4 linked regions of the Danio rerio genome follow. The protein of the gene in region 4 interacts with the protein of the main gene of each other region in a pairwise test. Links are inferred from orthologs where the notes say so. Each region holds a gene or a part of one and is shown on either strand. Other genes may lie near its edges.

Region 1 (4,607 bases), on a different chromosome or scaffold from region 4:
GACTTGTCGCCCTCTTTATTTACTGTACAATTGAAATCAAAATTATTAGCCTTCCTTTCCTGTGAATTTTTTTCCCCAAAATATTTCCCAAATGATGTTTTAACAGATTCAGAATTTCCTATAATATTTTTTTCTTCTGGAGAAAGTCTGTTTTTTTTCAGCTAGAATAAAAGCAGTTTTTAATTTTTATTTTATTTTTATTTTTTTATTTGAACCATTTTAAGCTTAATTTAAGCTGAAAAAGCACTTTAACTGAATAATAGTATCTTGATAAATATATCTATTTACAATTATGTACTGCCCCATAAAATATAACTAATAAATAATTCTGCCTTCGACTGTAAATCAGACCAGTATCAAAGTATAACATGTTGATGTTATCTCTTAGATAATTGAAAAAAGCTTTTAAGAAACTATGTCTATTGAAAAGAATTTAAATTTAAGATGTATTTGTATTATTTTAGAAACAACAACAAGTCCATAAATATAGTAAAACCCCTTTTTCAAACCAACACATGATCATTATTGTATGCATTATAAGAATCAAAAACACATTGTGTACAAAATGGTGTCCAGAAACTAGATAATTTTATTTAAATGTAGGTTTTCTGTCCAAATATTATTTATAAGACATTTTTTCTTTAAAAATTATATCAGGAAAACTATTTACATTTAAGATGCACTTACTGTATAAAGAAATTAGTTTACAGTAACTCACTCCACAAAGCTGGAAAATTATCCTCAGCAGTACAGAGGATGCAATATGTATACCTTTATTATAACATTTTCATAAACAGTTTTAATATCTGAACTTACTTAATCTTCTTTCTTTCTTTCTTTCTTTCTTTCTTTCTTTCTTTCTTTCTTTCTTTCTTTCTTTCTTTCTTTCTTTCAGTTTACAAATAGTAACCAAAATAGGTAAATGCATGCACATTGAAAAATGGGTAGGTGTGACAATTTGTAATTAAACCATATTTAATAATTAAATTTAATAATTAAACCAGATTAAACGTTTCACACACAACTCTGATGCACTTACTATACTTTCCCCCCTTAAACAACAAATGTTTATTTTCCCTAGTTTTTGCCCATTCCTGTGTCTGAAGGTGATCTGTGCCTACTGTATGATTGGATAAAGATTTATTGGTTTTATTTATTGTAAATTTTTATTTTACAGAAAGATATCCATTTCAATCCAAAACAGTCAGCCATAAATGCAGTTTTACAATAAAAGGACAAATTTAGTGTTTGCAGTTTTGGTCCTCCATAAGAAGACATGGATTAATATTTACTTTTTATACAATGTTTTCCAACATCAATATTTCCATCTAACGCACTAAAATGTTGATTGCCAAAGAGTTTTAGAAAGAATGCAGTTTAATATATAATCTTTTGGTAAAATGAATAACGTTACTATTTAGAATCTACTACATTACCCATAAGCTCTAAATCTGTCATGTGACAATGTCACGTGACGTCCAGGTACGCAGTGTCAGCAGCTAATATAGAAACGCCGAACAAGAAGCAACAGCATCGCTGTCACATCTGCATCTCTGTTCTTCGCTCAAACGCAATCTTATGTAGACCTATGCTCTTCATCACGGTACGGAATCAGCCAAGCATGAACGCATGAGGTGGTTTACACCATCTGCTGCTTTACCACACCTCGCTTGTACCTGGAGAGTTTGTTAGCTAAACAAAACCGCTGTTGTTATGCGAGTCACGTGAGTTGTTTTATCTTATAACTTATTCCTTTCTGATTTGTTTTATTTTTGCTTAAAGCACTGAACGTAGAGCTTGATGCAAATTACTTTTAAGTGAAATAAGTCGTGACTAATGACCTAATTGGGTTGGCCTGATGTCTTGATTAACTCAGCGTGAGCATTGTCATAATCTGTATTAGTGTAGTCTTTCTCTTATGTCAGACAGCATAACTGCTATTCTCTTTACTTAAGAGATGTCATGAAGTAACTGATAATGAATAGGCTGCTAATTATCTTTTGGTCAGACTCAGACAGTGCTGTAATCTTTTTCTTGCTGACTGCACGTTTCGTTTCCTCATCGCATGCTTGAGATTTCTGCTTACTGATGATCAGCTGAGAAATACAATGATGTCCCGTGACTCTCAGACTTGTCCTAAAGTCCAAACCACACTGTCAGTCGAGGTTGCTGATCACCTGTTTTTGTCAATTCGTGAAAGCTGTTATGTGCCCTGGTGATTTTTCACTAATGTCCAGAAGACTTTTGATATGCTTTGATGACACTATGATTTGGTGTACTGGGTGAAACCGTGATTATCTTTGGTTATGATGTTTGTCATTTTATCATTCATCATTCATTCATTAAAGAATACACTAAATATCTTATAATGACCTTAAAGGTTTGGTTCACCCAAAGATGAAAATCTGTTATTAGTTTCTCTGTTATTAATTACTCAAGTTGTTCCAGTCCCTTGAGACTTCCTTTTATCTTCGGAACACAGATGATGTCTCACGAACATTGCTGTCTATGGAGGATGAACAAAGGACAAAACAAGATATCACAATGTTACTAAGTGTTGCTGAATTGGTCCGGTAAAACAGGAACTTTTTAGGTGGCAATTCAAGGATCAGAACACCTCACTTTAATGACTTTCAATGTTCTAGAATATTTGTCACACAGATTTAATAAAAACAAAAGCATACATGTTAAAACTGTTAAACTGATTAAAGTGAGTTGATCAGAATGAAAGCAAAGCAATTACCTATAATTGTATTAGTCAATGCATAAATTATTCATTAGTCTTTGTTTTCAATTATGTAAATTTGTGCCAGCTTTTGCTGTACTAACATTGGATTGAAAGATCAGAGAAAGCCAATCCCCAGTCCACAGATGCTCTTTCATAAGAGAAGTGGTCAGATGTGGACAAAATAAACCAATTAAACCCCAGGTGTGAACAGTAATGTCTCTCCTTTGTCCACTTGTGATTAGATTGACAAAAACACATCTTCATATTAGGCATGGGCCAATATAACATTCTGATGGTATGATAACCTTCACTGTAAACGATTTCTTGTTAAATCAACAGTAAGTTACTGGCAACAATTATCCAGTAGCTGCTGTATTTCATAAAACGGTAACATTACTGTAATACTAATTACATTAGTATTACATTTACTGTAAAATGTAATACATCATTTTACTGTTGTTGATTTTTACTGTAACACCAATTACAGTAGTGATACACATACTGCAAAACTGAAAACAGTATTTTATTGTACATTTTTACCATGAAGAACTACGGTATTTTAACGTTACTTTCATTATTACTGTATAGTATTTTAGTTATTAAATGTTATTTTATTTTTTTTAATAGTGCTACTTTATAATGGGTAAAAATGTTTAAAAATTGCACAAGTGTTATTTTAACTGTTCAAGAAATACAAGAAAAATAAAGAAACTGAAACTTTAACTTCACAATAAAGGTTTATTGTGTAAACCATGCTAAAACAGTAGCAATAATTCAATATAACAAAGCAACAGAACACTAATAAACAATTGATCATTAAAACCAGTCAACAATTAATGCATCAAAAATTATTACAATTTTAAAAACAGGTGAAAATACTGCTACAAGACAGGAAATGATGAAGGCCAAATGATGTGGAAAGGGACAGTGAAAAAGGGCAGCAGCACTTCTGATGATCCTGCAAAAATGACAGGCAAAATCAATCACTGAAGTAAAAACTAATCATCCCTCAAACCATTTAATTCATTCAGAAACGAAACACTGCACTGTTGTTTTATATATATATATATATATATATATATATATATATATATATATATATATAAATATATATAACAGTTATAAATATATATAACAGTTTTTTTTATTGTTTTTGTTGGTGAAATACAGTTTTTTGTCAATTCACAATTACACTAACGTTAATGGGGAAAAGATCAGCGGGCATTGTTCTTAAAGATTGCTATTCAGGTGTCCACACAGGTGTGTAAAAAATAAAGTCTCATCTTAACTTAATGTCCGACTCTGTATAGCTCGAATATCTGATTCCATGATCACACTACTAGTGCTTCCACGAATTTAAGAGGGGTGAACACAGTTTATTCTCACTTTAAGAGGCTACATATTTAAAATTAAATAAATAAAAATAATCTAATTTAACGTGACTAATGTTAATTAAATACTTTTAGGCTTTTAACACGTATAAATCCACTTCTAACTTACAGATAAGATTGCGTTAGAGAACATGAAAGCCGTGGGTGATTTTTTAAAATAATGCTAATGATGAGTTACTGATATTTGGTTTGCATAAAACAAAGTAATCACTAAGCATTTATTTTTGGCAAAATCTGCAGAGAGGCTTAGCGACACGAGGAAATGTGTTAAAGTTGAGTAGAGAACTAAAGAGCAGTCTAGCCTACTTCATGAAATGTTTGTGGTAATATTCTGCGGTCAATTCGTATTACTGTATTTTAATATGCAGCAGTGATGGCATGTCAGCGAGACAAATAAACATTTTATCGAGTCATTTCATACAATTCATTTATTTATTTATTTTTTATACAAACCCTCTAGTGACATTTCCTCAAACTAAATCATCATA
Region 2 (3,193 bases), on a different chromosome or scaffold from region 4:
ACTGATACTTGAGTGTGCTCATGAAACAAAAATAACACTCAGTTTCTTCTCCTCTTCTCCTTTTTCTAGTCCAAATATAGAAATATTTTAATTTATCCATTTATTTATGTCATATCAGCATCTTATTTTAGGGGTTTCTCACCTTTATTTGGAAAAGACAGTAGAGGTTGCAGACAGGAATGTATTGGGAGCAGAGAGAGGGGTAGGGCTGAGAGGAGTCTGGCTGCAGACCTGGTGCAGTGCAATCTGAGCTGCATCCAATGCTTTTTAATGAGCTCACCTAACCCCACCCCTAACCCCACCCCTAACAGTGATGTCACTTGCTCCACTTGAGTGCATTGTGTCTGACATTGCATCGCAGAGTGATGCAATCTCAGCTTGCATCATAAAGGCTGCATGCAGATACTATTAGTAGGGCTGGCTAAGGACCTCGAGCCGGGAATTGAACTCGGGTCGCCGTGAGCACCATGCTGCTATATGTGGGCTATCGGCACCGACACATCAGCATCATTTTATATATTTATGGCAATTCTAGTTCCAAGAACTCAATATATATATAAGCAGATTTCATCTAAAATATCCTCATGTGTGTCCTGAAGATGAACGAAGCTCTCAGGCGATTGAAATGACACTTGGATGATTAATTAACAAAGGTATTTTGATTTTTTGGGTGAACACACACACACACACACACACACACACACACACACACACACTTGAACATTCCCTGATGAATGAGATCCAGCAGTGTCTGTGTTTTCCTCCAGATGCGTCTCCTCCGCCCGTATGAGTGGAGATGACTGTGATGTGTGCGGATGAACAGGCTTCGCTCTCGGCCGTGAGAGTCTGTTTGGCACTTTTGCTGTGGTCAGTAGTGTTTCAGTGAGTGTGATGAAGATGATGATGATGATGATTACGGTCAGAGGAGGCAGGAGAAGCTTTATAAACACTGTCCATCCTCAAACACAGAACCCTCCAGAGGATCCTCCGTCAGTCCTGGTGGCTCTTTTCCTGACTCACTTTGTACTCGTACTGCAGGGAGAAACACCGTTTCAGAGGCAGCACACGGAGAAACGGCTCATGTTAGAACAGGTGCACCACAAAAAATGAGTTTCTTAGTTTGAAAGTATCTCAACATTTTTAAGTCGAGAAGCATTTTTGGACAAGTAAAAAATATCAAGCAAAATAACCTGACAATGCATCAAAATCATTGCTTAGGGAAATTGAGAAACTAAACTAGCCGTAGTGTATGTGTGAGTGAGTGTGTATGGGTGTTTCCCAGTGACGGATTGCAGCTGGAAGGGCATCCGCTGCCTGAAACATATGCTGCATAAGTTGCCGGTTCATTCTGCTGTGGCAGAAAATTAATGAATATCTCCTATAGTCCTTGTAAACCACTAACACCAATATGTGTATGTGTGTGTGTGTGTGTGTGTGTGTGTGTGTGTGATAGTTTACCAGAGCCAGCTGTCGTCCTATATTGCCCACAGTGATGACTCCTGCGAAGAAGATACACGGCAGCCAGGAGCGAATGTAGAGGAAATCAGGAGACGTGTATCTGCGCAAACACACATTAAACACTCGCTGATGTGTGTGTGTGTGTGTGTGTGTGTGTGTGTGTGTGTGAGAGGCTTGCGTTTAGGAGTAGTGTTGGGGGTGAGGAGGAAACATACAGTCTGTACAGTAGAAACATCATTACAGCTATGAGGAGACCATAAATACTGCACAAGTGTGTGTGTGTGTGTGCGTGCGTGTGTGTGTGTGTGTGTGCACATGTATGTAAGTTTTAGTGTGTGTCTGTGTGTGTAAGTTAAGTGTGTGTCAAGGAGTGTGTGAGTTTGCATGTGCATGAATCCAAAAGTCCAGTACAGTGCATCCAATAATACCACCCGCAGTCTTTTCTCCTTAGTGTATTTATGGAGCATGAGCGCCCTCAGCTGGACAGACGTGTGTTTTATTTATCCTCTCCAGCAGGGGGCACTAATGCACCAAAGAAATGCAACTCAAAAGAAGTGCTGCGGCCCAATTCACATACTTATACTACGCCCTAAAAGTATGTACTTTTTTTGTGAAGGAAAAGTTTATACTTTCGAGTGTGCAACAGACGAGTATGAGAGCTTTTGGACATACTACTACCTTGTAACAGATCGTTGTGTTGCTTGGTTATGAGCCCTATCAATCATCCACACACCATCCGCATTTCTGTCGTATTTAATTTCCCACCTTATTAAAGGAGCAGCAGCAGGTTAATCTCCCATTCACGAGCCTTTCATGCAGAAATCTCATCAGGGCTTTGGATAATTATGCATTCAGACGTTCAAACTCACCTTTATATACGTTCAGTATTGTTGTTGCAGATGAAATATAACACAGATAATGTGATTTCAATATGTTCCAGTGGACTAGATATTGACTAAGTCATTCAAACATCTTTACCGAAGCCTCTCTCTACTTGATGGTTGGTCTCGCGCGTCCATAATGTTTGTAGTTTGTTTACATTTTTTCACATGCGTTTGTAGTTCTAATCGAATTCGTGTGCAATGTATTGTGGGCAATATCAGCCATTAGAGTACGCTTCTATACTTAACTTTTTTACCAGAAATAGCAAACCATCCAGGAACCTCTGGCATTCTCTTTTGAACACTATGGTTTGGGACATACTAATTCTATTTTCAAATGCTATTTAGGACGGATAGTGTGTGGATCGGGACGCAGCAATGATGACAAATGCCTGAGGTTACATCAGAATGTTTATAAAGCTTTACATTTGGAGATTTTTCTATACAGAAATGCAGGGATTCCCTTAAAGTAGAGCATGTTTTATTATGGATAGATGCACTTTATTAGACTTCTTTTAAATTGCTTAGAGTGCTGCTGATGTAGAGCTGGAGCAGACCAACATCATTTTAACACAACTTCTATTGGATTCGACTGAAATAAGAACGTCACGCACACCTAGGATACCTTGAGGGGGAGTAAATCATAGGCGATCTTAATTTGTGTGTGAATCTTTTTAACTCTTTGATGCACAAGCTGTAAAATACATATAGAAGTAAATAAGCTTAGACGGGTCACTTTAGACCAGAGGTCTGTCCTTCGTAGCTCGCTTAAATGATCTAAGATGATTTGGCAGATCCTGGATCTGTTCATCTTGATAACTGATCTCTCGCTAATTTGGTTCTTCAAACAAGTT
Region 3 (4,640 bases), on a different chromosome or scaffold from region 4:
AAAATGTACAGAACAGGAGTCACACATTGGATATCTGCTTTCATATCGAAATAAATTGAAATGTGTAAGTACTTTGTGATTGCCAATTTATATTCAAATACAAGAAGGCATTTAAATGTTACCAAGAGTAAGTGCAAGATTAGGTTCAGCTGCAACTTTTTTTTTAACTGTTACTTACTGGTTTATTAATCAATTGTTGGGGCATTGCAGATCAAACGACTGAGAATTACACGTTAATAAACTTTCATTTTATTTGGAACATAATAAACAGCAGACGAAACATTCATATCATTACTTGAAGACAAATGATAATGTATATGTTCTAAAATCTGTTTAAAATTTCAAACATGTCTGATATCCTCTGACTAATCATAGCCTGGCGCAAAGGAAAAAAATAATCAATGTCAATAATATAAAATCTGGATCTTTTTTTTTTTTATTTTATTTTTTTTCCTCCAAACTAGCAATGACCCCTCTAGACTTAAAGACAAAGAGAAGAGAGATTTACTTGAACACTTTAACAGTTGTTCATGTGATCCTTCTTCTCATGTCTAGTTTGGTTAGTTCACAAAGTATTACTTTTAGCTTTCTCTCTTAATTCTAAATGTGAATCAATATTGAACTTAAGTGAAATACTTAAACTCTTTAACCCGATGTCTTTAAAAGGCTTTGCATGCTAATCAAATCCAGACAACTAAATTACAGCAGTACAGTCGATTACTGAACATTACTAACCCACTACTGCCTTAATGAATATAAACAAAGATCATCCAGATGCAAATGTTATGGAACTTTTAACTTCATAATAGGGCTGCACAATATATCGCTTTAGCATCGATTTCGCAATGTGATCATTTGCAATAGTCACATCGCATGATAGGCAATGATGAGTTTGTATTATAGTTCATCATGTGCATATGTTTTTGACGCCTGTGATTGTTTAATGTTTTTAAAAGCATTTGGGTATAAGAACTTGAACTATTTGTGACCTTATTGAATGGTTTTTATTTTTATCATTCAGTTACTGTACTTAAATACTGTTAGACCTGGGAAACAACAAACCCCTTTATTTGAATAACATCTTTGTCTTGACTGCATTTACAGATTGTCATGTATGAAAATACTCACAACATATGCAAATACAGAAATGCACTGCAAATAGCAAAGATCACAACAATTGTTTATTTATTTATTAATTTTAGATTTTATAGAGATGCACTCCCACTGCAGAGTCATTCCAGTTGATCTAAGATTAAAAATTGAGTTATTAAGTCATTGATAAAATTGTATTCATATTGCAATATATATATATATATATATATATATATATATATATATATATATATCGCAAAATAAAAAAATATATTTTTATATTTATTTTGGATAAATAACATTTGTATCCCCTTTCATTCATTCATCGTGTTATTTTAATTCCATGTTACACTATTATCTACTTATTTTTATATTAATAACATTCCTTTTTCTTAATAGTATGTCTATGTAAAATATTTTGGCAATATTATATGTAAAAACAGCAGAAAGAATACTTGTTGAATTACCTTGGGTGGATTAAATGGATACGTCTCAGGGATCTTGATTTCTAGTTGATATCTTCCCCCTGTGAGAAAAAAAAACGTTAGCCTGTTATAATCTTATCTCCAGCATTAATCTCCAAGCAAACATTAAAGAAACATCATGTAAAGGCTCTCATTACCTTCATATGGTGTGTCTGGCGGTCCTGCTATTTCTCCCTTTAACTCTGTGAAGTTTTCATCCACCAGATCTACTTTTATTTGATTTTTACTCGTCTGTTAAAAAGCAAAACAAAAATGTATTTAGTAAGGAGTACCATAGTTGCTTGAACAAAGAAACAACCGGTATAGTCAAGTTATGAAGCTGTCTTCTGAACATAATAAGCACCCTTAAAAGACAGTATGATATGAGTCTATGATTCCCAAAAATGCTGTCTGTCAAAGGTGCTGCATTACTTAAAAAAAGAACATCCTAGCTGCCCTGTTAACTGACACCAACACACACAAAAACGTAGGAACACGATCAGTAAACCACTAATGGGCATTTCAAAACAGAAAACCAACCTTAAAACACTGAGTGCGAGTGCTGTTATTGCAGACTATAGAAGTGTTGGTGAAGCTAGCCGGCTAACTATGTCAAATAGCTCCATGGCTTAAGCTCGATGTGTGCCAGCACAAATTTAACAATACTCTGACATGTTCATGAATGAATTAAACATTTAGGTCTATGTTTTCGTTTTATTACATCGAGAGAAGCAAATTTGTCAGAAGTGTGACTTCCGTATCTTAAGTCCATCATATGACAGCTCATGCTAACATTAGCTTAGCATGCTAGGCTAGCTCATTGGGTTTTGTGTGTTCATCGCCAAAAGTCCTTCTGTTTGTTCTTAACGGGCAGGAAAATATAGTAAAGTAGCGTTTTGCAAACCTCTTCGCTTTTCAGCACTTCTTTAAACTCTCGCTTGATCCTCTGCACAGCGATATTTGCCATGGCTGATTGATTCCTCTCTCTCTCACTCTTTCTCTCTCTCTCCTTCTCTCTTCCGCTGTTTTTGAGCCTCCAGTCCGCAAAGAATGATAGAGCTTCACTTTCACACCCCTCTTGCGCTCCTTCGCCCTCTCTCTCTCCCTCCCTCTCTCTCTCCTAAAACAGTACGGAAAGCACCAGAAAAGCACCGGTAAACAAAATAAGAGCCTGGAACACTAAAACACTGCACTACAGCACTGCGTTTGTCCTTCTTTGTTGAATCAGGTGGATGTGTTATGCAGCAGAAAAGCAGAGCTCAGTCTTGACAGATCCAGAATGCGTTCACATCTAGTTTCACTCCCATATGATGTGGTGCTGTCACATGATGTCGTGCTGCTAAAGCTCGGATGCATCTGTTTTACTCCCACGTGATGCGTTCAGAGCATACGGTCCATCATCACCCCTTTCACTGAATTTGCAAACAATTTAGGCCTACACTATTTAAACCAAGTATTAAATCACATGGGTCCTTTTTGATTATTCTAACAGGAACATGAAGATAAATCGTTTGTAGCATACAATATGTATTCACCACCATTATAATACCATGCTAAATCTGAGTTATTTTTATATATATACAACAGTTCTGTCAGGTCCTCGAATCTGATTGGCTGATAGCCGTGATATATTTAAGTAATATCAGCACCAGTACAGCCTCTTTACCTTTTGTGTATTACTCCGCCCACATACAGCCAGCAAAAAGCATATATATTAAAATTAACAAATAAAAAGTTTACACTATGGTGAATAATACAGTGTTTAAAAATAATACAATTGTTTGGTGTGTTGTATGCTATATATATATATATGTGTGTGTGTGTGTGTGTGTGTGTGTGTGTGTGTGTGTGTGTGTGTGTGTGTGTATATATATATATATATATATATATATATATATATATATATATATATATATATATATATATATATATATAAATCTATTAATAAGAACTTTTTTTCGTTTTTCACCTTTCATTTGATAAACAATTTGAAATTAAGTTAAATCAACCATGCTTGAAAAGTTGCATACCAGTTGTCAGTGTGGCAGGGAATGAACAGAGCTCTCTTCCACTTTCAGTACCCGAGACTGAGGTGCCCTTAAGGGTTAGTTCTACCAAAAAATCTGTTATAAGTAATTACTAACAGAATTTTTGGTAGAACTAACCTTTAACATCCTTGTGTTGTTACAACTCCCTGGGACCTTCAACTTCGGAATACAAATTGAGATATTTTATATGCTCAGTGTCAGTAGCTAGTAAGAGCTTGGGGTGACCTAAATCAGTCTAAGCTTGATGTTCTTTGCTGATTGCTCCCCACACATTCCTGTCTCAACTTCCACTATCCAATAAAAATGTGAAAAAAAACCTAAACAATGAAAAAAAAAAATATATTTTACATGACATCTAACACAACACATTTACAGCCTTTAAAGTCAGAAACCCAATCAACATACAAATGTTTTTCATTTCATGTTAATGTTTTAACATGCGGCATAATCTGACAGATGTTTGGTACACAAAAGTCTTCTTGGAGCTTTGTGTGACAGTTGTTTGTATCTCGTATCTGTGTGTGTTTGTGTTCACTTCTCATTGTGGTGATTATGTATTCCCTTGAATGGGTAAAATGTAATTCAACTTCAAAGTATGTGTGACCACATTTGGCCATCACATTATTCATACATCTATCAATTCAGATGCCAATTGACTGCAGATTTTTACTTGATGTTATTTTCTCTATCGATGACCTTTATATTATCTTTAACAGTTGTGTACTTTGCATTTATATTTGTGTTATCTTGTCAATGGGTGAGATTAAGACTGAAACTGCCCTTCTATATTAAAGCCACAGAATAAGATTAGGGAGACAATTAAATATATAGCAAATACAGTTTTAAAATATGGTTAATTAGCATTCAATTGCTTTCTCATATAAACTGCTGCCATGTTGCCTTTTGAGAACTCTAGATCAAGCACATTGTCAAATCAACTGTAGTTAATTCAGATTTGAGAAAACTTTAGCCTCATTTAGGTCCGTCAAACAATACATTTATACAAATAGATTTGTACGGCTGAATGCATCAGAAA
Region 4 (3,286 bases):
ATTATAAAAATTTTATACAATATTATTATAATAATTTTTCTTCTTTTATTATTATTATTATTTATAATAATTTATAATATTTATAAAAATCATTTATAATAATTATAAACATTTTATACAATATTATTATAATAATTTTTCTTCTTTTATTATTATTATAATTATTATTATAATTATAAAAGAAGAAAATTTTATACAATATAAAGGATATCATAATAATGATTTAATAATAATAATAATAATATAGTAGTAGTAGTAAAGATGATATGCTAAATTTTACATAATAATAATATTAATAATAAAAGAAGAAAAATTATTATAATTTAGGGGGTATCATAACTGTTTTTACATAATAATAATAATAATAATAATAATAAAAAGAAGAAGAATTCATAATTATAATGTGGGTGATATCATAAAAATCCTTTCATAATAATAACAATATTAATAATAGAACAAAAACAAGGAGAATAATTTAGAGTATATCATGAAAAATAATTTCAAAATGAAAAAATAAACTTACATATTTGATCTAAAAGTATTAAACTATTAACATTTCTCGCATTAATTTTATGACAAAATATTTATATGAACTGGTTAATGTTTTACAAAAATCCTCAATAAAGCAACAAACGATTAGAAACAACCCAAAATGCAAATAAAGCGTGATCTACTCCAGTGAAAGTGAACTGAAGTCTGATTAGAGTGAAGAGAATGAGGAGATGAGCGTGTTTAATGATCATTATAGTAGAAATGAAGCCTTCTCGCGGGGTTACAGCTGAAACTCTGCATGTTTTGCTGAGATTCTTCAGCTGGTGTAGTGTTTGATCTATTCACGCTAATACTGTGCATGTGTGTGTGTGTGTGTGTGTGTGTGTGTGTGAGTGATACGTGTGTTCGTTCAGACGCTCAGGATCCAGAAGAAGAAGAAGATGGCGAGGAAGAGGAAGAGCGAGTCCTGCCAGTTGTTGCCGTTGTTTGCGTTTTCGTTGGCTTGCTGATCTGCTCCGTAATGAGCGTCTGAATCAAGATGAAAAATAATTCATATGTAAATGAGAGGTTATTCAATGAAACATCAGATCATTTGCATGCTTTTCTAACACACATTAATTAGAATGTTAGATGAAGTCAATTGGTTTTTAACTTAGTTATTTTATTTACTTTAATATTTACGTTATTAGAGAGAAGAGCTTTTACTAAGCGGATTTTAGGAATCCAAACTATCATTATTTTAATTTCTTTAATTTAATTTATGCTAGTTTAGCAGTAAAATTCAATTTTACAGAGAGGATTTTATTATTTTTAATCATTATTATTTTATTAATTACATTTACTTTTTCTTAATTTAGCATTCCTCATTTTAACTGAGAGGATTTTAGGAATCTAAAGTTTAATTTTAAGTTTAATATTTGTATTATTATAATCTTATTTATTATTTTATTTTATTTTTGTTAATTTAGCATTATTATTCATTTTTAGAGAGGATTTTATCAAACCAAACTTTTATCATTATAATTTTTTTTACTTTATTATTAGAAGTTTGTTTATAATTTTTTCAAATTATTTTAATCTAGCATTATTGTTTGATTTTACAGAGAGGATTTTAGGAATCCAAACTTATATTATTATTATTTTATTAATTATATTTATTTTCATTACTTTTTTTTTAATTTATTATTCTTTTAGGAATCCATGCTTTTATTATTTTTATCATTATAATTTTATTTATTATTTATTTTTGTTAATTTAGCATTATTATTCCTTTTTACCGAGAGGATTTTAGGAATCCAAACTTATATTATAATAATTTATTTTATTATTATAATTTTATTTATTATTTTATTTTAAATTATATATATATATATTTTGGTTAATTTGGCATTAATTACACGCTATTGCGTTTTTTATTTATTCATTTTTACAGAGAGAATTTTAGGAATCCAAACTTTCATTCTTATAATTTTATTTTAATATTATAATTTTATTTTTGTTTGATTAATTTAGAATTATTTACATGCCGTAGCAGTTTTTATTTTTATTTATGATGAGTATATTTTTAGTTTTTTTTTACAGAGAGAATTTAAGGAATTCTGAAAATATTGTGGCCAAATAAATAAATAAATAAATAAACAAATAAATAAATAAATAAATATCTTTCATCACATCTTATTTCAGAAAATACTGTGACCAAACCTTTATTATTATGGGTTACTGTAGCATTATTTATATGCTATTTCAGTTTTATTTACATTTGTAATGTGTATTTGTCTTTTTTATTTTTTTTTATTTTTAGTTTTTACAGAGAGAATTTAAGGAACTCCAAAAAGCATTGTGGCCAAACATTAATGATGATCTTATACTTTATTATTTTAGATCAGACTGTAAAGCTTGATAGTGGACATTAACATGAAGACGAGCTCTGACCTGCTCTGTGGAAAGGGTTGTTGGTGTTAAAGACTGTGGTGAAAAAACCAAAAGGAAAAGCACCGATCCCGAAAGACATGTGAAAGCCTGTGTCTCCAAAACCCTGAAACGGCTGCACACACACACATCAGGAGAATATTAATACAGTTATAATCATCACACTGACATTAATGAGAGAGTAACGAGATCACACTCACTCCTCTGCTCTCCGGCTCTGACCTTTGACCTTGAGGTCGAGGGGGCGTTTTCAATCTGCAACACACACACACACACACACACACACACACAGACAGACAGACAGACAGACAGACACACACAGACAGACAGACAGAAAAGATGTTTAACATCATATTCAAATGAACACACCGTATTTTACTGCATCTGTTGCATTAACATCAAACATGCGGTTTTATGACAAACACACATGTGAAAACAACGAATATTAAATAAATAAATAAATACTAATTATGTCATTTTGCAATCTAATATAAAAGGTTGATCTTATGATTATTACAGTGAAATATGACTGGATGTTTTCTAGTTATTAGGATGTAGCATATGTGGGTGAACAGGAATGCATTAAAAATGTGTGTACAGTGTGTATAGCGTGTGTGTGATGTGTGTGTGTGTTGTACCTGGGGTCCTCCTGACTGCTGCTGCCGCGGCCGTACAGAGGAATCACTTTATCACGGCTGATTCCTGCTTTACACACGGGACACTGCTGTCTGCTGGGACGCGTCTCCAACCACTGAAACACACACACACACACACACACGACAATATCATCATCCCCATCATTTCATCATCTTCAATATACACTCCAACACACACAGCAACATCTACAACATCATGTCATCATCTT

The links.
Region 1: the proteins of rnf5 (region 4) and slc38a7 interact in binary tests that used the Homo sapiens proteins (3 or more experiments, as listed by UniProt). The two-hybrid records come from large-scale screens. The link is inferred for Danio rerio from reciprocal best matches to the Homo sapiens genes RNF5 and SLC38A7.
Region 2: the proteins of rnf5 (region 4) and insig2 interact in binary tests that used the Homo sapiens proteins (3 or more experiments, as listed by UniProt). The two-hybrid records come from large-scale screens. The link is inferred for Danio rerio from reciprocal best matches to the Homo sapiens genes RNF5 and INSIG2.
Region 3: the proteins of rnf5 (region 4) and ube2kb interact in binary tests that used the Homo sapiens proteins (3 or more experiments, as listed by UniProt). The link is inferred for Danio rerio from reciprocal best matches to the Homo sapiens genes RNF5 and UBE2K.

What each region holds. Positions count from the first base shown.
Region 1 is NC_133182.1:53,639,318-53,643,924, forward strand, and holds the start of slc38a7 (sodium-coupled neutral amino acid transporter 7), read left to right. Parts: upstream 1-1,532; 5' UTR 1,533-1,603; exon of another isoform or gene 1,604-1,724; intron 1,725-3,456; exon of another isoform or gene 3,457-3,686; intron 3,687-4,607. UniProt on the Homo sapiens protein: Symporter that selectively cotransports sodium ions and amino acids, such as L-glutamine and L-asparagine from the lysosome into the cytoplasm and may participates in mTORC1 activation. The transport activity requires an acidic lysosomal lumen.
Region 2 is NC_133184.1:734,559-737,751, reverse strand, and holds the end of insig2 (insulin-induced gene 2 protein), read right to left. Parts: intron 1,559-3,193; coding exon 1,459-1,558; intron 1,033-1,458; coding exon 991-1,032; 3' UTR 717-990; downstream 1-716. UniProt on the Homo sapiens protein: Oxysterol-binding protein that mediates feedback control of cholesterol synthesis by controlling both endoplasmic reticulum to Golgi transport of SCAP and degradation of HMGCR.
Region 3 is NC_133176.1:24,895,928-24,900,567, reverse strand, and holds the start of ube2kb (ubiquitin-conjugating enzyme E2Kb (UBC1 homolog, yeast)), read right to left. Parts: upstream 2,977-4,640; 5' UTR 2,524-2,976; coding exon 2,461-2,523; intron 1,809-2,460; coding exon 1,715-1,808; intron 1,619-1,714; coding exon 1,560-1,618; intron 1-1,559. UniProt on the Homo sapiens protein: Accepts ubiquitin from the E1 complex and catalyzes its covalent attachment to other proteins. In vitro, in the presence or in the absence of BRCA1-BARD1 E3 ubiquitin-protein ligase complex, catalyzes the synthesis of 'Lys-48'-linked polyubiquitin chains.
Region 4 is NC_133194.1:1,198,804-1,202,089, reverse strand, and holds the end of rnf5 (E3 ubiquitin-protein ligase RNF5), read right to left. Parts: intron 3,173-3,286; coding exon 3,060-3,172; intron 2,677-3,059; coding exon 2,622-2,676; intron 2,537-2,621; coding exon 2,425-2,536; intron 1,021-2,424; coding exon 902-1,020; 3' UTR 703-901; downstream 1-702. UniProt on the Homo sapiens protein: Membrane-bound E3 ubiquitin-protein ligase that mediates ubiquitination of target proteins. May function together with E2 ubiquitin-conjugating enzymes UBE2D1/UBCH5A and UBE2D2/UBC4.